Linked DNA regions of Schizosaccharomyces pombe. The protein of the gene in region 1 purifies or fractionates together with the protein of each later gene. This does not show direct contact. Each region holds a gene or a part of one and is shown in the gene's direction. Other genes may lie near its edges.

Evidence for each region.
Region 2: the proteins of taf5 (region 1) and tbp1 purify together in Schizosaccharomyces pombe (affinity purification with western blotting, with the first as the bait; 2 studies listed by BioGRID). This does not show direct contact.
Region 3: the proteins of taf5 (region 1) and taf1 purify together in Schizosaccharomyces pombe (affinity purification with western blotting, with the first as the bait; 2 studies listed by BioGRID). This does not show direct contact.
Region 4: the proteins of taf5 (region 1) and taf7 purify together in Schizosaccharomyces pombe (affinity purification with western blotting, with the first as the bait; 2 studies listed by BioGRID). This does not show direct contact.

The regions. Positions count from the first base shown.
Region 1 is NC_003421.2:638,337-646,349, reverse strand, and holds taf5 (transcription initiation factor TFIID subunit 5), read left to right. Parts: upstream 1-3,814; 5' UTR 3,815-3,905; coding exon 3,906-4,212; exon of another isoform or gene 4,213-4,425; coding exon 4,426-5,519; intron 5,520-5,575; coding exon 5,576-5,744; intron 5,745-5,793; coding exon 5,794-6,058; intron 6,059-6,108; coding exon 6,109-6,205; 3' UTR 6,206-6,267; downstream 6,268-8,013. Other genes in the region: cut1 (separase/separin), read right to left, coding at 1-66, 108-409, 449-2,538; CCR4-Not complex subunit Ccr4, read left to right, coding at 6,817-8,013. UniProt on the Schizosaccharomyces pombe protein: Functions as a component of both the DNA-binding general transcription initiation factor complex TFIID and the transcription coactivator SAGA complex.
Region 2 is NC_003424.3:4,411,925-4,419,217, forward strand, and holds tbp1 (TATA-binding protein (TBP)), read left to right. Parts: upstream 1-3,554; 5' UTR 3,555-3,622; coding exon 3,623-3,825; exon of another isoform or gene 3,826-4,080; coding exon 4,081-4,141; exon of another isoform or gene 4,142-4,193; coding exon 4,194-4,454; exon of another isoform or gene 4,455-4,524; coding exon 4,525-4,695; 3' UTR 4,696-5,227; downstream 5,228-7,293. Other genes in the region: SPOM_SPAC29E6.06C (cysteine--tRNA(Cys) ligase Crs1), read right to left, coding at 1-1,995; SPOM_SPAC29E6.07 (uncharacterized protein), read left to right, coding at 2,900-3,250; SPOM_SPAC29E6.09 (uncharacterized protein), read left to right, coding at 5,546-6,565; protein nst1, read right to left, coding at 7,030-7,293. UniProt on the Schizosaccharomyces pombe protein: General transcription factor that functions at the core of the DNA-binding multiprotein factor TFIID.
Region 3 is NC_003424.3:836,100-842,062, forward strand, and holds taf1 (transcription factor TFIID complex, histone acetyltransferase subunit Taf111), read left to right. Parts: upstream 1-2,138; 5' UTR 2,139-2,220; coding exon 2,221-2,283; exon of another isoform or gene 2,284-2,325; coding exon 2,326-2,896; exon of another isoform or gene 2,897-2,911; intron 2,912-2,944; coding exon 2,945-3,093; intron 3,094-3,131; coding exon 3,132-5,288; 3' UTR 5,289-5,463; downstream 5,464-5,963. Other genes in the region: vacuolar amino acid transmembrane transporter Atg22, read left to right, coding at 284-1,873; RNA methyltransferase Tgs1, read right to left, coding at 5,473-5,760, 5,809-5,954.
Region 4 is NC_003424.3:2,171,910-2,178,983, reverse strand, and holds taf7 (transcription factor TFIID complex subunit Taf7), read left to right. Parts: upstream 1-5,196; 5' UTR 5,197-5,231; coding exon 5,232-5,559; exon of another isoform or gene 5,560-5,600; coding exon 5,601-6,454; 3' UTR 6,455-6,574; downstream 6,575-7,074. Other genes in the region: vta1 (Vts1 family protein), read left to right, coding at 97-291, 629-1,402; glycerol dehydrogenase Gld1, read left to right, coding at 2,624-3,976; mismatch repair ATPase msh1, read left to right, coding at 6,889-7,074. UniProt on the Schizosaccharomyces pombe protein: TAFs are components of the transcription factor IID (TFIID) complex that are essential for mediating regulation of RNA polymerase transcription. Also involved in the transport of mRNA from the nucleus to the cytoplasm.

The DNA.
Region 1 (8,013 bases):
ATATCTCAAGGAAAGCCAACTCGAATGTTAGTTTTCCACTCGGCTCCACCGTATGTAAAAAACAAACTATAAACAATTAGAAACGCCGGTTACGATTGAAAACTTACAAAAAAAATTCAAAATTGAGTTAATTTCAAAATCTGTGAAGGAGCAACGAGAAATGACCGAAGAAAATCGAGATATAAAAATAGTCCACGACTCAATTATTGTAAGTATCCTACTATCGTCTTCCGCACGTCTGTAACATAGCAAATTTTCCCATGAGCATAATAGCGACTCGTTTAAAGCTAATTTCGCATTATTGTTGGAATTATGCTCTAGGAGATTTTGGTCACCTTTAATAACGCAAAGAACCATTTCCTCAAATTTAATGTCATTATACCCATGGTTTGCCAAAACGCAAGAAACACTAAATGTCAGCAAATAAGAAAATTGTAGAAATACTTACTTTGTTTTAAGCAAAAGGACCTCCTCTTTTTCATGTAACATAAGAGATAATTTAAAAGATAAAGCAGCAGATGCATTATATCGAGAACCTTCATTTGCACATTTAAAAAAAAGTTTGAGCAAGGAATAGCTTATTGATTCAAGCAATTTTTCTATATTTGAATCATTTATAGAAGTTAAAGAGTTGAATATACGTTTTAAAATGTTATCCAATACACTAGATTTTCCAACAGATGTAGTTCCAACATAGAGATCCAGTTGATTGAATGTAGTATGGAGTACATCACATTTTTCTTGCAACTGTAAAGAATCGTGGTACCGAAGTTGAAAATTTTTTAAAATTTTCAGGAGATATGTTTCATCATTAGTCAATTTATGTGATACAGCAATTTTGATACTCAAACTTATGCATTCACGTGCATAATTAACATTAGAAGATTTTACACACAAGTTGTAAAGATGATTGGAAAGCTTTTGAGGAAATTCAGCATCTTCATAGTAGGCTGCGAGATTTAAACAGCCTTCCAGAGAACTTTGAAATTTAGTCAACTCACTAAATGACCTAATTATATGAAATGTAAACATCAAAAACTTTCTTATTTTAAGTTGGAGATTTAAAAGCTCATCCTCGACAAGGATATCCCTCACAACCGATGAGAGTATCCACGATAAAATTTCTGATATGTTCAAAGCAAATACAGTATCATCAAAAACCGTCGAGTCATTGAAAAGTCGAAATGATCGCTCTATTGAATCCAATAAATGTAGAGCTTCTGAATATGGTAAAGCATTTTCGACAAAGAGCTGCTGAAGTGACGACAACTCTTGGATTAAATTGAACGGAAAACAAATGCTATTATCGTGAATTGATAATCGAAAAGAAAATAATAAAAATTTTAATTTAAAACTGATGTCTTCAAATGACAAAGAATAGCCTCTAATGACATATGCAGCGCTTAATTGGAAATCATTATATTTATAATAAAGTTGAGAAAGTTGAAGCAAAATATGCAACCTCGATTCTTTTGATAAATTTTCCAGAAGATGATGAAGTTGTGTCATATCTTTATTTAAAATAGATCCTTCAATATCTTCGCTTTTACATAATTGGACAACTTTTGAGAAAAGTTGGAGGATTCTCGTTTCAAGCTGATTTACATCAAACTCTTTATCGTCAGCTCTCTGGGAAGAAAGAATATTCAACCATAAAGCTATAGAGAGGATTAAAAGTTTGAACGATTGTAAGGCGTTATTTTGTATCATGGAAAATCTTGTCAACAAACGAGCTAAAATTTCTCTTCTCGAATTGGCCAATTGAACCTGGGAAGGAAAGCTTCTTTCAATCCATTGAAAAGGGCCATCTTCGCTTTGTAAGTTATTGATTGTATTCAAAGACAAACCGTTAATTTGACTTAAAGATAAACATCGTAATACATTGAGCTGAAATGTGACAACGATAGTGCCTATATTTAAGAAATAAGAGGCAGGAACCATAGGAACAAAAAGGCAGCTTTCTAATTGGATTTCTGAAACATCTAAAGTGGGATTAAGAAGGGTAGCAGTAGGGATGGCATCGTGGTCCCGATATGTCAGTAAAATTATAAGGTTTTTATGAGTTTTCATCAAAAGACTGATAGCTGGTTCAAAAATCTCCATGTCCAGGAGCCGATTACAAATTGAAACCCCGCTACGGATGCAATCATACAAATGACTTGTATTTTTGGTTACCACCTGCATTTGTTCGAGAATATATGTACAGCATTCTAACAGGTAGAAAACCTCGGGACGGTGAGCCGTATTTAATCTAGAAGGTGTACAAAACATCCTTCTAGTTTTCTCCTTATCTGTAGTGGATAGCTCCGCCCATTGCTTAGCTAAGTTACTGACTGCACATTTGAAAGCCACAAACAAATGCTCGAACGTCCACGAAGGTGCATCACGAGATATATTTTGCTTGAGGTCCTTTAATTTTACAGAAGCCTTGAGTCGCTTAACGAGAGTAATAGAGCAATGCTCAGGATAACTGAGAGCTGAAATGAACTTCTCTGGAGTCCAAGAAACTTTACTAGTAACGATTGACCTTGTAGACATAATGGAAACGAATGAATAGTAAAAAATATTAACCAGCAACAGTTACAACAATAAAAGGGATTTAAATTATTTAACGCCGTTCATGAAGAATAGGTTGCAAGAAATAACTAAGCCAATAGCAAATATCGACCAAAATATAAGATTTAATAATTTGACAGTGATTTTCAGTTCGCAAAGTTATATTACTAATTATTGAGAAGAGGAAAATATTAGTGACTTAAAAATCATGTAGATGTTTTATTATATGCTTATGAAAAGTAGATTAATCGATCTTCCCAACCAATAGAATATTATCAGCATTAATTAGAACATTGCAATAGTCGAAATTTGGAGCTGTTGGTTTTTATTTCGTCTAAAACGAAAAAACTGTCAAGTCGTCTCGCTGGATGAAGATAGGCTAGTTGGTAGCAAGGATGCTTTGGATGTTAAGGCAAATGAAAACACAGTACTTACCACCAAATCCCTAAAACTGGTCCAAAAGAAAGAAAACTGTAAAGAAGAAAATTAAATATAATTAAAAATGAATGTAAATAATTGATAGTTTACAGTTATTATCTACAGTCCATTACTTCATCGCAACCTACTATTTGTAAATTTCAATAATGTAAATAAATATATCAATAAATAAATAAACCGATTAAGACTCAAAACCATACAAATCTGTAACAGGAAAAAAAACATATAATTTCTGATAAACTCATTTTATCAATGCTACATCAATTTTTGTTATAAACTAATGATTTTGAAGGAAATATGAAATTTCCCAATTTTTTGAATTTTTTAAAAAAAACTTCTACATTTTCCCTATTTAAATTTCAACCCAACATTTAGTTTTATTTTAATAAGGGGCCCTACTATAATTTAATTAAAAAATTATAAACATCCCGAAATTGGGATGAAACTTCTAAAAAAAAAGTAAGTGAAAGTTTTTAAAACCGAATTGAAAATCAAAAAAGAATTTTAAAAAGTATCTAATTGAAAAAGTTTTACTATGCAAAACTTTTATTTATTTATTTTTTTTTTCTAGCGTTCATTGCCTCGCAATCCTGTGTTGACATTAAAACAATTTCATAGACAGTTCATTTTTGAGTAGGACAAAAGAAATAGTAATTTAGATAGGATTTCGACATCAAAACGCTCACAGACACTGTGGAACCTTTCCAAATTTCAGTTATTCATAAATCCTGCAAATTCCCAATTTAGCGTGGTACACAATGGTATGTTAATAGACACGAACTCGACATATGCTACTTCCTAGCAAGTTGCTTTGAGCTCTGCGCAGGTAATTATATGAATCACGGTCATTTGTAGATTTATATTTGGATTCTAATTAATTTCTTCAAGCTAGAGTATTGGAGAATTTAACCATGTCTGCCACTAATGGGCCGCAACCGCAGGATCTGAACAGAATTGTTCTGGATTACCTTGCGAAGAAGGGATACTCAAGGACCGAGGCGATGCTTCGTTTGGAAGCATCGGGTTCTGGCGTGTCAGTAGAGGAGAAGTTAAAAAGCATTGAGGAAACTCCAGATGCATACACACACACGTATACGATCTTACGAGACTGGGTGGATAGTTCGTTAGAATTGTACAAAGCTGAACTTCACAGGATATTATTTCCTATATTTGTTCACTCATATCTTAATCTCTTGTCTCAAGATCATTATGAAGCTGGTAAGTTGGTCATATTGGAGGAGGTTACGAATTTGTTACATGTTTGTTTCGATGATCTACGAACAAGAGGGGTATTTGAACTATTCTAAATACTTATTAGTTTCTTTATCTATTGAGTTTACAACTTGTCTTTATTTCTGAAACTCATTCCACTTGACCACCCATATTTAATTCTTTATAAGGATAAATGATAATTTTACTAACGTGCTATAGCAAAGCAATTTTACGAACTCTTCAAAGACGATCATACTGATCTTCATGACTTTGATGTAAAAAACTTAAAATCGCTGAGTCTTCCAAGCCATGTCGCAGAAGACCGCACTGCTCAACAATACCGGCAAAATAAATATCAACTCCATTTTTCTAGGATAACATTTGATTTATTGCTTCATTTCTTATTTGAAAACGTTTCAAACGGTGGGTCAATTATCATTAAATTAATCAATCAGCATATAGATATCCATATCGTTCCCGGACGTCCCACCGTCTTGGAAAATGCTAAAGTTATCAATGAACAAGAAGGTATTACCGGCCAATCCTTTGAACGAGGAGATGCTCAACTTCAACCTGTAAAGCTGCAACAAATGCCAATGGACAAAGAAATGGAAAAAATTGTAGAGATGGACTTAGAAGAAGAGGATATGATGCACCAAAACGATCCAAATAACCAATCTCCAAAACTATTAAAAGAATTTAGAAAGCTGCATGAACCTAATGCTGAAGATGCTCCGTCTAGAGATTATATCCCTCTTCCTCCTCATAAAGGTGTTGATATTCTTTCAGAAGTTGAGGCTGTGAAAGATTGGAGTAAAAGATTACATCTTGGACCTAGAGCCTCCCTTCCTAGTGTTTGTATGTACACATTCCATCACACCAATAACAACATGAACTGTGCTGAATTTTCTCCTGACTCCACAATGATCGCCTGTGGTTTTCAAGAAAGTTATATACGGCTATGGTCAATAAAGGCTGACAAAAAATCATTACCTAAGTCAACTTCTGTAGAGGATTCAGATGGCTCAGTACGTTTACTGAGTCATTCTGGTCCTGTTTACGGCACCACATTTTCTCCCGATAATAAATATTTACTATCTTGTTCCGAAGATGCTAGCGCCCGGCTGTGGTCTGTTGACACAAAAACTGCTTTGGTAGCTTACAAGGGACATACTGGCCCGGTTTGGGATGTTGCCTTTGGTCCGTTTGGTCATTACTTCGCTACTGCTTCTCATGACCAGACTGCACAACTTTGGAGCTGTGATCATATATACCCACTTAGAGTTTTTGCTGGGCATTTAAGTGATGTAGACGTATGATTATTATCTTTTTTAAGAAATGTGTTTCCTTATGACTGACTTGTATTTAGTGCGTTACCTTTCATCCAAACTCCGCTTATGTGCTAACTGGATCAAGCGATAAAACATGCAGGCTTTGGGATGTACATAGAGGACATTCTGTTCGTGTTTTTAATGGACATACCCAACCGGTAACTGCTGTTGCGATTGCCCCAGATGGTCATACTATGGCAAGTGCTGGTATGTTATACATTTGTTATTACTAATGATTTTACTAATTTGATTAAAGACAGTGAAGGTCTAATTCACCTTTGGGACATAGGAACAGGAAGGCGTATAAAGACAATGCGAGGTCACAGAGGCAACATATACTCTTTGTCATTTTCTCGCGAATCCACGGTCCTCGTTAGCGGAGGGTCAGATTGTACTGTGAGAGCTTGGGACGTTTTCAAAACTAATTACAACAATCCTGTTTCTTCTTCTCTAACGGGAAGTGTTGTTACACCTTTCTCTGCTAAAACATCCACATTTAATGAAGTCAATTGGTCTACAAGGTATGAGAAAATGTAATGGAATCGATATATTTACTAACCTTCTCAAACAGTCCGGATCAAATGGTAGCTCTTTATACGAAGCAAACCCCTATATTTAATGTCTCCTTTACGCGTCGTAACCTTTGCTTAGCAATAAGCGTTAGTTAGATAAATAAACCTTTTTTGATCTTCAATATGTTTCTTCCCGTCCATACTTTAAGAAATTTGGCATTATATAAAAAAAGATTATAAAAAATTTAATTTAAATATTAAACATTATCTTACTTTACGATAATGAGTCAACAACTAACTGCCTTTTAACAACTTTGAGACATCCATGTATCGGAATCGAAATTAGGCTGAATAATTCATATTTGATGTTCCGGAAAAGCTTTTAATATTATAAACTTCATAAAGGACTTCTGATGATACATTATATATTAAATTTTTCAGTAGCTCCAATATTTACATAGACCATAACAGCGCTAAACATAAGCTAAAATAATTTCATGTTTGGACCCTAAATTATATTATTTAGAAAAAAAATTAATAATATGAATTAATTGAAAGCATTCATATGCAATTATATACCTAAAAAACGATTAACAGGACACTGAGTTTTCGTCTCAAATCTTGGTGGTGAGCTTTCGTATCCCACCTATAAGCTATCACGGGGTTCGACTCTTGCCGTTCACCAACAACCTCACTTTTATTGTATATATAGTGAATGTTGTAAATTAGAATTCATCTCGACTTTGATATTTTGCGAGATACCGTCTATGTTTAATCCTAGGTATACGCAAGGTACAATTTATCCAGGAGCGCACCCGGGGCTGTTGACGCCAGACCATCAACATGCAGCAATATTATCTGTACAGAATTCGCCAGCTTTAGAAAATAGTAATATTTCTGAACATTGGAAACAGCAAATTGCACTTGCAACTCAGTCCAGGTCCTTCAGTTCACCACACCAACGAGCTCATAATGCTGCGGCTTTAGCACGAAGTGGAGGACCTGGGTTTTCGATGAATTACAATGCTCGGACTGGAGCTTTTACCGGAGGCCCTAATGCTGCTGGCTTATCCTCGTTAGGGGGAAAGTACAATACTAGCTCCACTACTACAACATTGACGACCTCAACAACATTAAACACTTCCAGTGGTACTACCTTAAACAGTACGTCAAAAACAACCACTTCTTCTGTTGCGGTTGATGACCAAAAGTCGAAATCTGACTCTAAGAAAGAGAGACGGGATTGGACTTGTTTGGACCTTGGTGGTATTGGTTTGAGAAATGTGAGCACTGATTTATTTAAATTCTCTTTTTTGACTGAATTATACATAAACCATAATAATCTTACCCGATTACCACCTGAAATTGGCAAACTGAAGAATTTGGTTATTTTGGATGCCTCTGGAAACAGCATTAAAACTATTCCACCAGAGCTTGGTTTACTTACTGAGCTTAGAGAAGTCCTATTGTTTGATAATATGATTAGTGTAATACCTGCCGAACTCGGTACCCTTTTCCAATTGAAAATTCTTGGTATTGAAGGTAATCCTCTTCAAGACGTTTACAAGAATCAAATCATGGAAAGTGGTACTGCAGGTTTAATTGCTGCTTTGCGCGATGGTTGCCCTGTTGGCCCTCCTCCTCCTGAGCGTGGATGGGAAAAACTTGTTTCCGATGATGATGATGATGTTAATGACAATGTTTCAACCTCTGTTAGAGATTTAACGGCTGCTGATTCTAACAAGCCCTCTACAACATCTAAGAATCTCAAGTTTACTATTATGAGTTATAATGTGCTTTGTGAACGTTATGCTACATCCACATTGTATGGCTATACTCCTTCATGGGCACTCTCTTGGTCGTATCGCAAAGATTTAATCATGCAAGAATTAGGTGGTTATAATGCTGATATCATTTGTTTGCAAGAAGTTGATGTTGAGAACTATGATACTTTTTTTGCTCCA
Region 2 (7,293 bases), on another chromosome or scaffold:
CTTAGCTCTCTCCTCTTCAAGCTTTTGCTCCCTAGCAGCAATTAACTCTTCAGCATCAACAAGTTTGACAAGTGCAGAACCTTGGGGACGATCATTAAAACTAACACCAAGTGCAGCCATATCATAGTCTCTAAATATATCACAAGCTTTGAGAATCTCCTGAGAAGAAGCTTTAGCAATGCAAAGCTCCCTTACACGATCGCGGAATGAAGATACAGCCCTAATGTATGGCATGGCATCAGTGTTCTCCGAAGAACTTCCTTTCGATGATGACCATCCAACAGCGTTGGGGTGGCCGTTTTCATCGAGGCCAAAAATTTGGAGCATCGAAGTGATCCATGATGCAATTTGTCCAAGTAAACGTGAGCAAGGTTGTTGACCAACTTCACGAATATAAATGTTGGCTTGAGTAACCAAATTATCAATGTGTTGCATGACCAAAGGAGTATTAAAACTATCACAAAGAGCAAGATGGGTATTTTGCTGAGTTTGTTGGAATTTTTCAAGTAACTCAATTTCTAGCTTATCAAATTTTTCAGGTACGTGACCCCCATTAGCGCTTACACCTTCAGTTTCATTCATGAGAGCTCTAACAGTCCGGAAGAAATTCTCTAAGGCTTGTTCAATGTTTAAGACATATGCCAAAAGGGTCTCCTTAAAATCGAGTTGAGTGTTCCATTGTTGAAGTAAGAATGCCAAGCGTAATTGTCTAGGTGTAAACTTCTTTAAAATTTCTTTAATAGTGATAAAATTTTTAAGAGATTTAGACATTTTCTGGCCTTCAATATGCAAATGACCTGCATGAAAGAAATAATTCACCCATTGGGGACAGTCAAAATAGGCCTCACTTTGTGCCAACTCATTATCGTGATGAGGGAATGCCAAATCAATTCCACCAGAGTGAATATCAATATTGGAACCAAGTAGAGCGCTAGCCATGACAGAACATTCGATATGCCAACCAGGACGTCCTTTGGACCAAGGACTATCCCAAGAGGGTTCACCAGGTTTACTGGCCTTCCAAAGCGCAAAGTCTCCCGGACGCTTTTTACCGGTGAGAGCAGCCAAGGAACCCTCGCCCTCAGCAATTAACTCTCGATTTCCTTTATTCCAGGGCTCCAATTTAGCATAAAAATGACCACCTTTTTCGAAAGCCTCTGTGTCGAAGTAAACGCTACCGTCTGTAACTGGATAAGCATAACCGCGATCGATAATGCGCTGAACAAAATCTACGATTTCAGGAACATATTCCGAAACTCGCGTAACAGCAGTAGGTGGCAAGACATTCAGATTAGCCATGTCCTTGTTGAAGTCATCTTCCCAATAAGCTGCAAGTTTACGAAAGATTGCAGGATCAGTCACGGTGCTACCCAATTCTGCATCAAGCAATGGGACCAAAACATCTTGTACCTTGGGCCAAAACCCATCCAAAGAAATGATTTCAGAAGCTTCACTCACCTGAAGAGCGTCCAAAGCAGACTTTAAAGCATCCACATGCATGGGTAACTTGGGATTGTTGATAGCTAAAGTGGGAATATCATGGGATGCGAGCCATTGAGGCCATTCACTCATCGAGGAGGGAGGTTCAGGAAGATTTTTCTTGGCATATGCAAACCAAGCCTCAGTAACCTTTTCACGAGCTTCTGAATGGGATTTGTTAGTACCTTGCTGCTTTTTATATTCTTCAAATAAATATTGTTGACGAGCTCTAAGGATAATTTTGTCATCTATATCAGTAACGTTTTGTACAAATGTAATGTTATATCCAAAATAAGATTGTAAGATTCTTCGAAGGATATCAGTTGTCACATAATTACGAGCATGCCCCATATGACTAGCATCATATACCGTAGGTCCACAGCAGTACCATGTTAAGTTGGAACCATTTGAAACAAAAGGCACCTTGCTATGAGTTAAGGTGTTGTATACATAGAGCTCCGTTCTTTGTCCTTTAGGAACACCCCAATGCGATTGAGCGGGATTTCTAGTCGACATTAGATTTTTATTAAAAAAGCGACTAGAACTATTGAAACAACGAGCCACGAGTTTAAAAATCGTGATTTTGATTATTTTGTCGTTGAGTTGGGTAAAAATTTGGCAGGATAACCTGAATTAAGATAACGGAGTATTTGATGCGCAATTTTACAGGTTATTGTTAGTACTTGAACTAAGCAAGCAAAAACATTTTGCAAACAAAAAATAAAAACAAAATTTCAATACCTAATTATATTTTTCCTCATATTAAACTAGTAAAGTAGCCAATAGATTTATTTCATCTTTTTTTTTTTTTTTTTTTGACGATATTATTGCAAATAAGTTGTTGGTTTCCATCTCAGCATACCAATTGATATGCTTTGAAAATGTCTTATCCGTATTAATCTTAGTTTTGTTGAATCGAAAATATTTAAACAACTCTGGTGTCCTCATATGTTTCTGCCTTCATTACAGATCTTCTATAGTTTTTGCATTAAAGCCATTTAATTGAATGACATTGTCAAGTTATTGATATTAGATAAAAATTTGAATTTTACATTTCAAAAAGTAAATATCATGTTATCTTATTTCTTTCTGTAAAGGATACTTTAAATTACTAACAAAGAAACTTTGAAATCATATTTTAGAACAATTTATTAATATGCATCAGGAGGTTATTATAACAAAGAATGACATTTATCTCAAAAGACTAACAATGGTTTATCGTCTCTTGGATACCGTTTAAAACAAATACTTCTTTTATAGTTTAAGAAAACCCTTATAAAGACTTGAGGGATTAATGATTTGTTTTTGTTTTCTTTAATTAAAAAAAAAAAAAAAAAAAAAAAAAAAAACTCAGATCGATTTATATTTTCTTTCTGCAATTTCACATTTTATTAATTGAATGATAAAATAACAAGTAGCGATGGAATACTATATTCGTGAAACGCTAATTACAGATTTTCAGGATGTTAAGACTTTAAAAAATAAAAGAAAATGCTTCAGTTTCTTTTTTGAACTTAGATTATTTTCCCCTCAATGTTTGTTTATAGTATATTTTTTTTATTTACTACACGTGAGAATAAACACCTCTCCTTTGTTTATAAAAACTACGACACGACCAACAGCGTTAATCCATATAACAAAATACAGTGAAGCGTTAGCGTCGAGACTGCTGAAAGGGCATATGACGCAGCTCTCACTCCGTACCATCCTTCCACCTGCGCACACAAAAAATTTACATCGCCAGCAACCAACTACTTGGTTAGATAGCTAGTGCCTTTGTTCAAATTTTATACCAAAGCTTGATTCAGCTTTTCTAGACTAAATGCGGTACTTTATTTTGCACTTCCTATACTCATTTTCGTCTATATCTCGTTCGTATTGCGTTTGAAGGACTTTTTTTTGTAAACGAGAAATTTATACATAGAAGCTAATAAGAAAGTTGTAAAAACGTATTTTATAAATAAAAAATCGCGCATTTCTTTACTATTCAGCCATCGCCGCGGTTTCACAACACTCAGAAACCCTAACCCTGAAAGATCGGGTATATATAAATAAGTGCAGCAGCCGTCACCTGCAGGCTTTCCATTAGGGGTGGGATAACGCAATTCTACGAGTAGCGTAAAATAATAATTGATTTACTGCAATGGATTTCGCTTTACCCACCACGGCCTCGCAAGCGAGTGCCTTTATGAATAACTCTTCTTTAACGTTCCCTGTTCTCCCCAATGCCAATAACGAGGCTACAAATGAGACGGCAGATTCCGGGGATGCAGAAGTTTCAAAAAATGAAGGTGTATCTGGCATTGTTCCAACCCTTCAAAATATTGTTGCTACTGTAAACTTAGAGTAAGTCGTGCCTCTTTGGATAGGGAACAAGGCGTATTGCCGTCGCGGTGAGTTCATCGGAAATCTTTTGTATAGACATGGCGTTTGGGTAAGAGCGATTGTTAATGGTTATTTGATTTTTGTTTTGTTTATATTTAACTACCATGTCACGAGATTTCCGAAGGCAATGACCGCAGGGGATGATACGTCTCGTTAACAAAATTTTCCATTGAGTTAGCAAATTAGACCTTATTACTAATAATCCTCTTAAAATAGCTGTCGTCTTGATCTCAAAACTATTGCGCTACATGCACGTAATGCAGAATACAACCCAAAAGTACGTTAAACCCTTTTAATTTTGTTTGAGGTCTGTTATTGACCAAACATAGCGTTTTGCCGCTGTTATTATGCGTATCCGTGAACCCAAGTCTACTGCATTGATTTTCGCGTCTGGTAAAATGGTTGTTTTGGGTGGCAAATCCGAGGATGACTCCAAGCTCGCGTCTAGAAAGTATGCGCGTATCATCCAAAAACTCGGTTTTAATGCCAAGTTCACGGATTTTAAGATTCAGAACATTGTAGGAAGTTGCGATGTTAAATTTCCAATTCGTTTGGAAGGTTTGGCTTACTCCCACGGTACTTTCTCATCTGTAAGTTCATCATCTTTAAAGATGTTGTTGCTGTTAAAAGACGAATAAGTATCTAACTGTTCTTTTTTAGTATGAGCCTGAGTTGTTTCCCGGTTTGATTTATCGCATGGTAAAACCAAAAGTTGTTCTATTGATTTTTGTTTCTGGTAAAATTGTTTTAACTGGTGCGAAAGTCCGTGAGGAAATTTACCAAGCTTTTGAAGCCATTTATCCAGTATTGTCTGAATTTCGAAAACATTAAGGCATGTCAACAGTTATCACACAGTTTTGTGTCAATGTTCATGGGTATTGTTGGGTAAAAGACCTTAGTCGGGGTCAGGTTATTTTTTGATCTTTAACATTAAACCCTTAAAAAGCTTTCCGGAGAATCCCCTTCACTGTAAGTCATCATTTATGAGTATTTTTATATGATGCAGATGATAGAGACATCCTTTGAAAAGTTTTTTCTTCAAAATCAGAAACTGATCTGTGAGTTTCTTCTTTTACGGCGCAACACAGCTTTATTCAAGAAAACTATAGAGGCTGAAATTGCGTATCTTATTTGAAAACCTGCAGTTGATGAATGTGTGCTCTTAAAAGTGCGTGCAAGTGTCTTCGCGATACTACTTGTTTTCCTCTGTGTTTATCATTAAACATTAGTTGAGCATTGCTTCATTAAATCTTCTAGCTTCAGGACTGGTGGCCAAATCGGTACAATGTTCTGTATAGCTTTGTATAATTCATTTTTTCATGATCGTGTAATAATAATAATAATCTTTTAAAAATTGAAATAATTTGGTTTTAGTCTGAAGAGCGTATATCGACAGTTCTTAAAAAGTATTGATTCCATTCGAAAATTAGACGATTATGATACTATGGAGTTTAAAGGAACTGAGTATCTGCTGTTCCTGTAAAATACTTTAAGTTCTTAATAGCGCTAATAGAAGGAAATGCGTAAACATGAACACTAATACGGTAATCGAATAACGACGAGCCTGTGGCACCTAAAAAAAGAGTAATAAAATGAGTTTGTATAGCAAGCAGAAGCAGCCAACATCTAACTAAGTCGCGATTTGCAATATAATCGCTTTTTACATATAAAAAAAAACCAAATGTTGTCTGAACTTCCTGAAGTGATATTTAAAGGGACTGAGTTTGAAGAGCAATTGTCGAATTTAACATCGGACAGCCAGGCGAATAAAAGAGTTTATGAAGATTATGATTTTAAGGATGAAACATCAGCAAAACCAATTCCCACAGAAAAAAAATTAAAAGTATTTAAAAAGGATGATAATGTGGAGACATTACTATCTGCTTTAGAAATTCAAAATGAGAAATCGAAGCAACAAGTCGAGTATTCCTTTATCCCACTGAAGCAGGACGATGGTGATATCTTAACATCACCTGGAGATTTCGAAAATGCATCAACATCCCCGGTTTCAGATGTCACTTATGTAAACACTAAATTAGTAGATTTTATATCTTCTGTCCTTCTAGAGGAGAATCAGGGTCTTGCTTTGCATCAGTTAACGCTAAAGTTGATAAATATTGGCGAATCTTTTCACTCACTTCTTCCAATTAATCTACCTTATGAACCTTACGTTATTGCTAATTATGTGGAGCGCCAATTAAGGAGTTATATATCTGATACTTCCTCGAGCAAGCAAAGTTTATTATCTTTAAAAAATTCTTCGAATGGTACCGTTTATGTTTCTACAACTTTACCATGTCCCGTAGAGTTAAAGCCAAATATCACTGCTATAGACACTGCTGAGCGGAATTCTTACCTGTGGGGTATTTTACAGCCTCCCGAACCTTCAGCTGAAGGTCCTTTTACTTGGAATGGCGCTTCATCACATGAAGGAGACATCAATAACAATGATACTGAACTTGGTCTTATAGAGAATCCAATGAATCTCGAGACCCCGAAGATAGATTACGCTACTCCACATATTAAAGAATCTAATACCCCTTTGTTTACTTATAATTTTAATATCTCTGGATTTGACGGTGATTCATGTATCGAGAAATTTACTCCATTAGATGCATTAGGTATAAAACCGTCCCCTATAGACGTGGATGCTCATTTTCAACCAGAAATGCTTCCACCTCTTTTTGAAACCTTTTCGTAGCACATTGGTATTTCTCTTGAAACTGCTTTCTTGAGTTTGTCGTCTTCATACCGTTATGTTTACTAATTATGATTTTAATTTATTTGATTATTTCATTTTAAGTCTTTCCGGAAATTTAGATTTGCATTTGATTTAGATTACCTAATTTTTTCGAGTTTATCGTAGACCATAAGGTCATTACTAATTTACTGACTTAATAATTTAAAATAAGATCAATTGTGATTTTAGCAAATTAATCACTTGATGATACAATTTGCTATTTATTTTTTTAGTACTAAGTCTGAATTGATTACTTCAACTCATGGCGTAAGCCAAAATCTGTGAGTTAGATAAATTGAAGTAAGTAAACAGCAGGCTACAATTTGCAGTTATTAAAATTAAAATAAAACAAACGAAATAATTAAAATATTTATGTACACAAATCTTAACAGAACTAGATAAATTGCCTTCTTTGAAGGTACTTTTTAATCTGTCCAAGTACGATTTCCCCAAGGAATAGATTGGGTAGATGCATTAGGAGTAAATGCGCCCAGCGCAACGCCCCATGGACTTTCGGGAATAAGACTTTTATTGGAAGTCGACCGAGATATTTTCCAGGTGTTTTGATTAAACGCGTTTAACAACTCATAATTATTAGGATTACTAGATTCATCTCGTGACAGACCAGAAGTGGTTGAATTAGAAGCTGTGATAACAGAATCTGTTTTGTCATCTAATAGTGCACGACT
Region 3 (5,963 bases), on another chromosome or scaffold:
AGCTATTATTAAATGATACAATAATTATTTAGTTGATCGCTTAAAAATTTTTTAGAAGCAGCCATGATTGTATCTATTTTGTTTGTTTTGTCCATGCATTGTTTGGTCTCCCCCCGAGCAGTTATGTCCCTATTGCGTAGCTAATAAATCCGCTACACCAACCACAATTTTAAGATAACTACAACAGTTTACTTTTCTTTTCTCATTCCCTTTCAAAATTTATGTTTTCATATTATCTTCAGTAATTTGTATTTCCATAGTTTTTGACGATTGAGCTATCAATATGAATTCTCCAATACAACTTCACAAGAAGTTTTCCACTACAGTTTGGCATGTTCTGAGCTGGATTCTTTATGCAGTTGGGGCAGGTCCTACTGCAATTATAAGTATGGGGGTGTATGTTCCTTTAATTGTTATGAAAAATGCCCATGATCATGGTTTTTTAAGAACAGATCACACAATTCCTTGTTCTTTATATCCAGAAGAACCTTGCTCTTTGAATATAGTTGGTCCGCTATGGATTGATGTTAGTTCTATTGTATTCGCTGCATCAGCTATTTCAACTTTTTTACAGATGGCTATGATGGTTAGCTTGGGTGTTATTTGCGATTATGGAAATAACAGAAGATACATCTTGTTTTCATGCGTTATCATAGGTTCTATTAGTGGTATTATACTTTCGTGGAGTCCCTCGAGTTTTCTTTTGGGAAAAATAGTGTTTTTGATTCTGGTCGACTTGAACTTTATTATATCTCAATCCTGCTATGACAGCTTTCTCCCTATTTTTTTGAGATTCTACCCTATCACGAGAGGACCTATAACATTGGAATCCGCTCTTCAGGATGAAACAGATGACCTAGATAGCTACATAACAAATACCACCATTGATTCTAGTGAAGAAGAGCCCTATTTGCTTGAACACAGCCTAATACTTAATGAATCCGCTCCTCCTGCAGATGTGGAAGATGAACACAAGGCTAAAATCGCTGCTCGATTATCAAGCGTTGGCTTCGGTAGCTTCTTCGGCGCTGCTATTCTCTTTCAGATTATTTTTACTCCCATTTTGTACAAAACTAATAACAATCCAATAATCTTGCCAATAACTGTTACAGTGTGTTCATGTTGGTGGCTTATACTTTCAACCCCCCTTTGTACCATTGTTACACTACCTGTGGAAAATCACTCAAGTGATGCTATCCTGACACTACTTTATAATAGTGTGAAAGAGTCGTATCATTCATTCAAGCATGCAATGAGTATTTCTTCGATTAGGCTATTCCTATTTTCACGACTCTTCATTAATTGTGGAATTCAAACTTCTCTTTCTTCTGCCGTTATTTTTGGAAAAGCAAGGTTGAATCTCTCTAACTTTCAGCTGACTTTGCTAGGAATGGGAATATCTTCTTTCGCATTGTTAGGCACCGTAATTATACCCTATCTTACTGAGTATTTTCAACTGAACTCGTTACAAGTAGTAATGATTATTTCCATCCTCTTGCCGATGGCTCCTTTATATGGCCTTTTGGGTTACATTCCTGGATTTGAAAATGCTGGAATACGAACATCAGCTGACGTTTTCCGGGCTACTTTATTCTTTGGCTTTTTCTTAGGAGGTGCGCATAGTTATTGTAGGTCCGTATACGCTCAACTAGTGCCATCTGGAAAAGAAACTAGATTCTTTGCCCTCTACGCTTTGATATCACAAACCGGTGTGTTATTTAGCCATATTTCTTTAACACTTATTTCGAACTACACATCTGATTTACGTGCCGTCTACATTTTTGTAATTGTTGTTATGACTTTACCTTTGTCTTCTTTATGGATAATGTATCAACACAGCAAAACCCCCAACTTGCATAGGTCCTCCTCTTAACTCACCCACTAGCATTTATTTATTGATTTAATTAAACAAGTCTGCGGTTCTTTATTTTTTCGAGACATTAAACTATTGATTAATGTACAGTGAGCGCCAAGCCTAATTATTTTCATGAGTCTTTCCAATTAATAAACGAAATTATCGAGGATTTAATAGTTAATAGATATATATTATTATATGAATTTAATTCTGTCACCCAAGATTCATCAGTAAGCTAATGTTACCTGAGTCTATATTCATCGGCAGACGAAAAGTATCCCTTAGCCAACACCCATTTCGCCACAAGTCGATTAATATCATATATAACGGCTTAGTGAGGCCATACATAAATTTTGAAATATATTATGTCTTTTGATGGTCTTATAGTTGAAAATGAAAATACGAAATCTGGATACAATGATGGAAATGTAGGTATTTTGAAATCTATAATCTTAAACTAACGAATGTAGGACCTGACAGATTTATTTAAGCAAAATGGTACAGACATGTCTGTAATAAATTCTCTTTTAGGAGATACAAACAATCCAGGGATGAATGAGTCCCCAAAAATTTTAGATTCTAGTTTTGAAAATTCCAACCCTCAGGATGGACCAAATTATGAAGATTTTGACTTTATGGGTTCAATTCATAAGGAATTTGGTAATAACATAAATGAAATGGATGATATGGAAGATGTAAGTGATGATAATCTACCAGAGGAAGAACAAGCTGTAAATTACACCGGGGATAAGGATGATGAAGATTTTGGAAAGCTTTTAGCTAAAGAAATGGGTGAAGAGGCTGCTGGTCAGGTCCTCAGCGGAGTAGGCTTTTCAATTCCATCGGGATTAGTTCCACCTTCCGAACCTTCGAAAACTGTTTCTTCTACTACAGAAGAATTACAAAACGAAGCTCAAATTAGGGAGAGCATTGTCAAAACTTTTTTTCCGACCTTTGAACGTGGTGTTTTGTTGAACTTTTCAGAACTTTTTAAGCCGAAACCTGTTAAGCTTGCTCCTCCAAAGAAAAAGACCCCAAAAGGTATGAATTGATTATTGTTGTATTTTTTTACTGATCTGACATGTTAAGTTTGCGTACCTGGTCGTTTAACGTTAGAAGTCGATACAGATTACGCAATAATATTCAATAGCAAGAAGTCTTTACCATTAAAGCGAAATGTTGTGTCTCCAATATCTACGCATACAAAAAAGCGAAGAAGAACAGCTAATACATCACAGGTATGGTTTGATTTAGAATAGCTTTCACTAACCGAAAGAGGAATGACGGCTTGGATCTCAACACCGTTTTTACTACTAATGATTGGGAAAAAAATATTATTTACGATGAGAGTGATGTTAACAAAACTAATCAATCATCATTTTTTATTGACAAATCACTAGTTGATATTGATTTTGCATTTGATGAAAACATTTTTGACGGAGACACTGGTACCTCGAAAGTAGTATTAAATTTAAATGACCCCAAACTTTTGTTACAACCTCAATTGCCGAAGAAAGAGGATTCCCAAAGATCTTTTGCAGACACCCATCAAAGGAATTCCCTGGCTTGGAAGTTTAATATATCCAACGATCCTGCCTATGAGATGTTAAAACAAAATCATCAGTCAAAAGTTCGTAATACCTTGTCCCAGTTAGCAATTGAGCATGCTGCCTTTGCCGAAAAGCTCACATTTCCTTACTATAAAACAAGACTTAGTAAGCGTGCTGTTCGAAGTTACCATCGACCAACCATGTCGTTCAAACCTAATGCAGCTATTGTCTTTTCACCTTTAATAGTAAGGAAAAGAAGTAAAGATAAACATAAGTCTGAACGAGAATTAATTCCTACTACTAAGGAGATAACAATGGGTGATACCACACATGCAATACTCGTTGAGTTCTCAGAAGAACATCCTGCAGTGCTGTCCAATGCAGGTATGGCCAGCAGGATCGTTAATTATTATCGAAAGAAAAATGAACAGGATGAATCACGTCCCAAGCTCGAAGTTGGTGAAAGCCACGTTTTAGATGTTCAGGATCGGAGCCCTTTTTGGAATTTTGGATCTGTTGAACCTGGAGAAATTACTCCCACTTTGTATAATAAAATGATTAGAGCTCCGTTATTTAAGCATGAGGTACCACCTACTGACTTCATTCTAATACGGAATTCTAGTAGCTATGGCTCAAAATATTACTTAAAAAACATTAATCATATGTTCGTGAGTGGTCAAACTTTTCCTGTTACTGACGTGCCTGGGCCCCATTCCCGTAAAGTGACCACAGCAAGTAAAAATCGATTAAAAATGCTTGTTTTCCGGCTTATTAGGCGTTCACCAAATGGAGGATTGTTCATTCGACAATTATCAAAGCACTTCTCCGATCAGAATGAGATGCAAATTAGACAGCGTCTTAAAGAATTTATGGAATACAAAAAGAAAGGTGATGGTCCAGGTTACTGGAAATTAAAATCGAATGAAGTTGTCCCCGATGAAGCAGGTACACGGTCAATGGTTTCACCTGAAACAGTGTGCTTACTAGAGAGTATGCAAGTGGGTGTGCGGCAGCTTGAAGATGCTGGGTATGGGAAAACAATGGATGAGATCAATGATGATGAAGATGAAGAACAACCAGCAGAGCAACTGTTAGCGCCTTGGATTACTACGAGAAACTTTATAAATGCTACCCAAGGGAAGGCCATGCTTACACTGTTTGGTGAGGGTGACCCTACAGGAATTGGCGAAGGTTATAGTTTTATTCGTACGAGCATGAAGGGTGGTTTCAAACCCGCTGGCGAAACCGCCGACGATAAGCCAGAACCGCAAACTAAGAATGCTCACGCCTATAATGTTGCAAAGCAACAAAGGGCTTATGAAGAAGAAATAAATAGGATTTGGAATGCTCAGAAAAGAGGTTTAAGTATAAATAATCTGGAAGAATTGGCTAAAAAATATGGCATCAATTCTATACATGATGATTACGTTGAATCTAATGAGGAGACTACGAGAGAAGAAACTCCATCTTCTGATAAAGTTTTACGAATTGTTCGACTTTATCGTGACAAAAATGGAAATTTGGAACGTAAACAGGAAACCATTCATGACCCGATAGTCATCCATGCCTATCTGAAGAAGAGGCGTGAGATTGACGAACAATCAACTGCTCTTGATGCCGTCGTACCAACTGGAGACGAAGCAATTGATAGACGCAACCGAAGGCGTCTTGAACAAGAACTTGCCAAGAGTCAGAAGAATTGGGAGCGACGAAGAGCTCGACATGCTGCCAAAGAAGGAATCAACTTGAACGGAGAAGGACGAAAACCCACTACTCGCAAATGTAGTAACTGTGGTCAAGTGGGCCACATGAAGACCAACAAAATATGTCCCTTATTTGGTAGACCTGAAGGAGGTTTGGCTACTATGCTCGACAAAAACTAAAATAATACTGAGTGTTATAAAGAATATTTGACATCTCATGATGGGCGTCGATCGCTCCTTTTTTGTTTATTGGTGATGAATCTAATTATAACGATATTCATTGTAGAAAATGTTAATAATCAATTTATGTTTATGAAATCAAATATATAGTTGACGAACTTCACGTGAAAATGAGTTGAAACTTTCAAATTTTTCGCGCAATAGCACCCTTCATATTAAAATAGCAGCAAATTGCCTTGGCATATCCTTCAAATAAAAAATTGGTAATATAAGGCTTGTTATGAATACTCCCATATGCTGCAAGTTCCTTTACATCAGTGTTTCTTGGCAAAAATGCAGCAACATAAGGGGATATCCTAGTTGCTTCTTTAAATAGAACATCAAAAGCATATGGGTTTAGGTCATTTAATGAATATACTGTTTTTCCTGAGTAACTAGGTCCACCCCAAGGAGGACTCATAAAAACAAGAGACTAGAAAATATTGTTAAACACAGAATTAATATATAAGATTATCTATACCCTGTAATCTTTAGCAAACTGCAAAGATTTAAAAGTGTCAAGAACGTCTCCTTGAATGAAAGTGACTCGAGATGAAGGAATGCCATAAATTTCCAAATTATGCTTTGCCATAGCGATTTTGATAGGATCGATCTCAATTGAGATTACTGAAACAA
Region 4 (7,074 bases), on another chromosome or scaffold:
GTTGGCGAGGGTTTTTTCTCTTTTTTTTTTTTTTTGGATTACGAGACCAACTATGTAAATGTTTCTGTGGTACTAACCGCTCTATGGCGTGTGTAGTTACGTAAAAATTTGGGCGAGAATGAGAATGTGAGTGACGAGACTAGTGCAAAGGCGTATGTTGAATCGTTTTCCCTAGAAGTTCTTGTCCAGGCCGAAAGAAATAGCAAAAACGGGAAACCAGATGTGCAAGCGTATTTGGCAGCCCGAGATTTTCTAGAGTTGTCGAGAATCTGGGGACCACCTACGGAACAGGTACGTGAGTCAAAAACAGCGAGAGCAAGTGAGACGGAATGAAAAAGAGTAACGAGCAGAACTTAGGAGAAAAAAAAAAGAAAACCACGATCAACAAAAATGAAAAAATGAAGGTTCTTTGGAAATTTTTTTATTTTTTATTTTTGTTTTGTCAAAAACAAAATCGTCTTTTCCAATTCACATTACCATGTGTTTTTTTTTTCGACTCGTTTCTTCTTTTGCCATTCTGAGGATTTCCTTCCTATCGGTATTTTTCTCTCTCGTTTGTATTATACAACGATGCTTTATGATGCTTATAACGATTTTTTGTTCCCTACTAACCCCTATTGCTACGTAGATTACCAAGTCAATCAAATTTTGCAAGTTACGTGCGCTCCAAGTCGCAAATCCCCAACGAAAGGCCAAAACACCCTCAAACCACGCGACCGAGGAGTTACAGCAATCTTCCACAAATTCCACAACCCTACCTACGCAAGAAGCCGCCGTTGAAACGAATGCCTCTGCTTCTCATGAAACATCTTTTGCTCTCCCCACTACATCTCCAGCAGCATCGCTCTCCATCTCTCCTACAAAGTCTGCAGCCGTATCTTCCGAGCCTAATGTAGAAGCAGACGTAAAATCGTTGTCTTCAACACCGGCTGCTCCACAACTAAATTCACCTTCCCATTCATATGAGCCTACCACGTTCCCCTCAACTACATCAATAACCGAAAATTTGCCAACAATAGATCCTACTCGTTCCACTCGCTCTTCCTCGCATATCCAAAGTTTATCTCCTGAGTCAAAGCAAACATCAGATGGGCATCGGCCTCCCTCCCCTACGTCAATCACCACCACCTCCACCTCCATCGATCCGTCAGTAGCATTTTCCAGCAAGTCAACTTTAGCCACAACAAGAACAAATGCCCCTCTATCAAGGCCATCTCAACCGACTAAAGCCTCCCCCTTGAACAAGTTTTCCGCCTTGGAGGCTATCCAATCTGCTCGAAGTCATGCACGCTATGCATACAGTGCATTAGACTACGAAGACACAACGACAGCCATTCATCATCTAAAGTCGGCACTAAAACTTTTGGAGGAAGAGGAGCAGGGAAATCATACTGCAGACTAGAGGAAGAATGCTGGGGCTGGAATGGAGGGGATCTCAATGAGACAATGGGAAAAGGTGGGGCAGATACCAGTAAAATTATCTATCCATCTTGGGGAGAAACAATCTAATTGTACCACTCTCCCCACTATTCGTCTCTCTTAATGTTTGTTTATTTGTTTGTTTTTTTTTTATCCACTTTTTTTTCTTCAAATGCTTTCTAATTGTAGCAGGACCCCGCCTTTCTCTCCACTCTTCCCATTTTCCCTCGCCGTTGAGTGGCACTGCTCATCCCTGTCTCCTCATTTTTTGTCGCGTCATTTTAGCGAGCGTTTATTAAGGAACTGGCGAATGACTGCTGTTGTATATATTTCCCCAGATTTTCAGCAAGTAAGCTTTTGTCTTGTACTGCATACCACGTTGTCTTTCTTGCCCCTATGACGCAGTTATGAGACCAACGAGTCATGGGTTTATCCTGCCTCATCTTTTGTTACGTTATTTTCCTGTCTGCTTGGGTTTGGCTTCCGCAGTGGGGAACTGGCAATTGCGGTGGATATGTGTGGTGTCATCGCCCTCTCATCAAGTTTATATGTAGAGGGGCAGCGCTGAATTCTTTGCTCTTGGTTATTGCTTTCGCAGTTTTCCATATTTCCCCCATCCATCCATCCATCCATCCACCTCTTCTCTTCTCTTCTTTTTTTAACAGAATTGCTTTTTCCATTGTAAAATAAAACCATAGCAAGTTTTCACTACCACTTGGGTTTTTTTTTCTTTTCTTTAATTATTTTTTTAATCAACTTTCGTTGCTTTAATTTTTAAATATTTTTTCTCTTTTCATTCTTCCTACTCTTCCCGTTTACCGTCGATCGGCTGATTCTAGTTTTGACAATCACCATTGACTACGTCGATCCCTTTTTTTTTGGCCAGCCGAGATCATATATCCCGTTCATTCTTGGAACTTTCGTGATCTTTCGACTGTCTATTGATTCCGCAAACAAGTATATATATACACATATAGTTGTTTTTTCTTTTTGGACCTCTGTTCCATTGCGTTTCTCTCCTTCTTAGTTACTTGTGCTTCTTTACCTATTTCCTTTTTCTTTTTAAATAAGGATTCTTCTGTATCGAAATAAATTTCAAGAAAGGTAAGAACCGTTCCACACGCCTATTCTTGTATTTCTCTTTTCTTCGATTTGATTCGATTTCTATTCGTAACGCTTAGCTAGTCTTTGAACTTCCTTCATAATGATTGGTCCTCGTCTTTGCGCTGCAACCCCTCGCTTCCCTCTCGTTTCCCTCGCCCACAGGAACTCTAAAGTATTTGCGCTCGCCTCTTCCAATGCCGTTGCACAACGTTGGGGCAAACGCTTTTATGCTCCTATTGAAACGGAGACGCCTCACAAAGTTGGTGTAGAGTTTGAAGAATCCAAAGATCGCATTTTCACCTCTCCTCAAAAGTATGTTCAGGGTCGTCATGCCTTCACTAGATCCTATATGTATGTCAAAAAATGGGCCACTAAATCAGCTGTCGTGCTTGCCGACCAGAACGTATGGAACATTTGTGCCAATAAAATTGTCGATTCTCTTTCTCAAAACGGAATGACTGTCACCAAACTGGTCTTTGGCGGCGAGGCAAGCTTGGTGGAACTGGATAAACTTCGCAAACAGTGCCCTGATGATACTCAAGTCATCATTGGAGTTGGTGGTGGTAAAACCATGGATTCCGCAAAGTATATTGCTCATTCCATGAATCTTCCATCCATCATTTGTCCTACTACTGCCTCCTCTGATGCCGCTACTTCCTCTCTTTCCGTCATTTACACTCCTGACGGTCAATTCCAAAAATACAGCTTTTACCCCCTTAATCCCAACCTCATTTTCATCGATACCGATGTGATTGTTCGCGCTCCCGTCCGCTTCCTTATTAGTGGCATTGGTGATGCTTTGTCCACCTGGGTGGAAACTGAATCCGTTATTCGCTCAAATTCCACTTCCTTTGCCGGAGGTGTGGCCTCCATTGCTGGCCGTTACATTGCCCGTGCTTGCAAAGACACTCTTGAAAAGTATGCCCTGAGCGCTATTCTTTCCAACACTCGCGGTGTTTGTACCGAGGCATTTGAGAACGTGGTCGAGGCCAACACATTGATGTCTGGTCTAGGCTTTGAAAACGGTGGTCTTGCTGCTGCTCATGCCATCCATAACGGTATGACCGCCATCCACGGTCCCGTTCATCGTTTAATGCATGGTGAAAAGGTTGCTTACGGTACCTTAGTTCAAGTTGTTTTGGAGGATTGGCCGTTGGAAGACTTCAATAATCTTGCTTCTTTTATGGCAAAATGTCATCTTCCCATTACCCTTGAGGAACTTGGTATTCCCAACGTAACCGATGAAGAGTTATTGATGGTAGGTAGAGCTACTTTGCGACCTGATGAGAGTATTCACAACATGTCAAAGAAGTTCAATCCATCTCAAATTGCTGACGCTATTAAAGCCGTTGACTCCTATTCACAAAAATGGCAAGAACAAACTGGATGGACCGAGCGTTTTAGATTACCCCCTTCTCGTCATAGTCCTCACTTGACCGACATTCATCCATAGGCATTATTTTTATCCCCAGCTTCAATTTTCCCTAGTAAATCCAAAAGAAGAAAAGAAATTTTTAAGCGGGTTTTCTTCATTGATCATTAATGTCCTGAGTGTTTTTTTTTCTATAGTAGTCTTTTATTTCGTGTGCTTCCTTTCCTCTTGGAACTTTTTTTACCTTTTTTCTTTCTTCCTTTTTTTTATTTTTTTAAAAAAGTTGTAAGCTTTTCCCGTTAATCTAGTGATTTAATGATCAACCTTTTCGGCCTACTCCAAAGTTTTTTACGCCCCTTATAACTTCATGAATAATTTGCTTTATTTTTGTTACGAATGAAAAAAATTGTTCCCCTTTTCAAATGAATGTTTTATCGTTGTTAGTTGTATTGTATTAAAGTTGTTCACCGTAATTGATCTATTTGTTACAATGCACATCATCTGTGTTGCTTCCTTTTTTTTTTTTTTTTTTTGCAATCGCTTTTTATTGTGATAGATTTCAAAAGTTTTAAATGTAATTACAATTAATAATGTTCCTATGTTAGAAAACTTTAAATAACTAAAGTGATTTGTTTTCACGTATTATACAATTGTCGCTAGTGGCCTTGTCAAACATTCGTTGTTATTATATTATATGCTAACTCAATATGATTAGTATGCTACAAATGGTATAATAAGTGAGTAAATCCCGGATTCCTAGCTACATTGAAAACCCTTTTTACCTTAACCTTTGCATCGATCAACAATTTCGCGCTTTATTTACATTGTTTACTGTGGGATAAATAAGTAGTGTTGTCAACAATACATTACTCAAGGATACACTACGTTGAGTATCACTATATGACACATGTCCTAATCATTCATCGTTGTATGAAACAGTATTGAGATTGACCTTAATAATAATCTATTAATATTTTTATTATCTGAATACTATAAATAGGGCTACTGCCGAACCTTGTTCCTCAGTTCAGTAGTTTAGCTATGTCGGTGATCGATACTAATGGACTTCTTATAGTAACAAATATACATTGTTAGTTAAACATACCACATACCGCTATACTGTAGGTCGCAAGAGAAACTCACCGCAGTTCTATGAATCGTTAAATAGATACCAAACTGCGTAGCTGACAGGTGTTTGCAGATAACGATTGTATTAAAAAAATGTTGTAAATCACTATGGCTCGTTAGTAGTAGATAACGAGACTCACTTGAAGGTTTAGCGACTTGCTAATCGAGCGTTTGCCAACGACAATTACTCAAAAGGCGGTTTTCGAAAATGGTTAAGCTAAAAATTCGTGCTGTTCAGCCTCCTCCAAATGATTCACGATCTAGCACTCCAGCCACTGGTCCTCCTCCCCCAATTCCTAAAATTAAGATCAAGACACGTGAACCTAAAGGCCCTCGATTGACAAAAATTCGGTTAAAAAGAGTTCGCGAACCTGGCTTAGGATATGATTCAGAAGCTTCTGACAGAGAAGAAGACACTTATATTGAAGAACAAATTATATTACGTCTTCCTCCTGGTGAAGATTGTGAGTATGTTCGAAAAGCAATTGAAAATAGGGAAGTGGGACGAGGTGCAGACATATGGGTGAAGTTCAAAGGTAATGACTTGGTTACACTATATTATTATTAACAGAGTTAGATCAAAGAAGAGCGGTTGTTCATGTTAATGGTCATTTGTACGCTGCGAAGTTAGTTGATTTGCCATGCATCATAGAATCTAATAAATCATTCGACAAAAAAGTTATCTTCAAGGCTGCTGACATCTGTCAAATGTTGATAGCTACAGAAAGAATCGAGCACGAAAATTCTGTTCTCAATACTCAGTTAAAGCAAGCTGATTACATTTATCCACATGGATTGACGACGCCAATGCATTGGGTGCGGCAGAAGCGATTTCGAAAACGTGTTTCGAACAGAACAATCGAAGCAGTTGAAAATGAGGTTGACCGATTGCTTGCAATGGATGAACGCGCTGAAAGTACATCGAATGAGTTGATTGATCAAGCACAATTGGCTCGTGACTCAAGCATCGCTCTTTCAGAGGATACATCGTTTGATGGAATGGCAGGACTTCGTGGTACCAGCATCGATCGGGACGACCAAAGCGTGCAAACTGATATGTTTGATGGTATGGATGAGGACGATTTGGCTGGACAGATTGAACAGGGTATGCTTGAGCTTAGTCAAGATACTCGGGAGTCAACAGCAGAACCTCGTGCCGCAGGTGAAGAATCTGCTAGTGAAGAAGAAGAAGAGGAGGAAGAAGAAGAAGAAGAGGAAAATGAAGCTGACGATGAGACTCGCGAAAATAAACGACAAAATAGACTTGTTCGTGAGTTTATTTCAGAGTTGGAGTCTTCTATTCAAAAACGTAGAAAGGATGCCGATGAAGCAACTAATCCCATTCTACGAAATCGTTTCCTTGCAGACGTTAATCGTATGGTGACCGAGTTAGAGTTAAAACGTACTCAACTTGTCGATAACCCTGAATAAATGTGTTGCGTAGTTACATCTTTTTACATTTTTTTTTAAAGAAAAAAGCATTTATTTCTATACGTTTTACCTTTTGCATATCAGCTACAATAATAATGAACATCGGTTATGGTTTGGATATATATACATATATTTATATTTTATATAGTAGATTGTAAATTGCATATTAAGTATTTTAGACACTGATAGCCAGAATTAGTTTTGTTAATGAAGTGTACCGAACTTTATTACAACAATCATTTTTCTGCATAAGCAATTCTATTTAAACGTATACATATATTTATTAATATACATTTATATGCTCATAAATAAATTTATATACTTGAAGATTACTATTTCTTCAACTTGACAATGATGCATTCATTGTCGCTTATAGTAACATAAACTTTTGCTAACTCTACAAAAAAACCCTTCCATTCGGTAACCTGAAAATTATGCCGACATGGAGGTATATTTTTTCATTAAGAAGTAAATCTTCTTTCACTAAAACCTGGGTACCGTTTACTCAAATTCGAAATTCTAGTAAATCCCCCAAAGTCGGCCAAAAGCCAATTTTACAAGGCGCGTTAGGACCTCCGTTAGATTTTATTAGACCGAAGGAAAAAGTAACTCTACCTCCT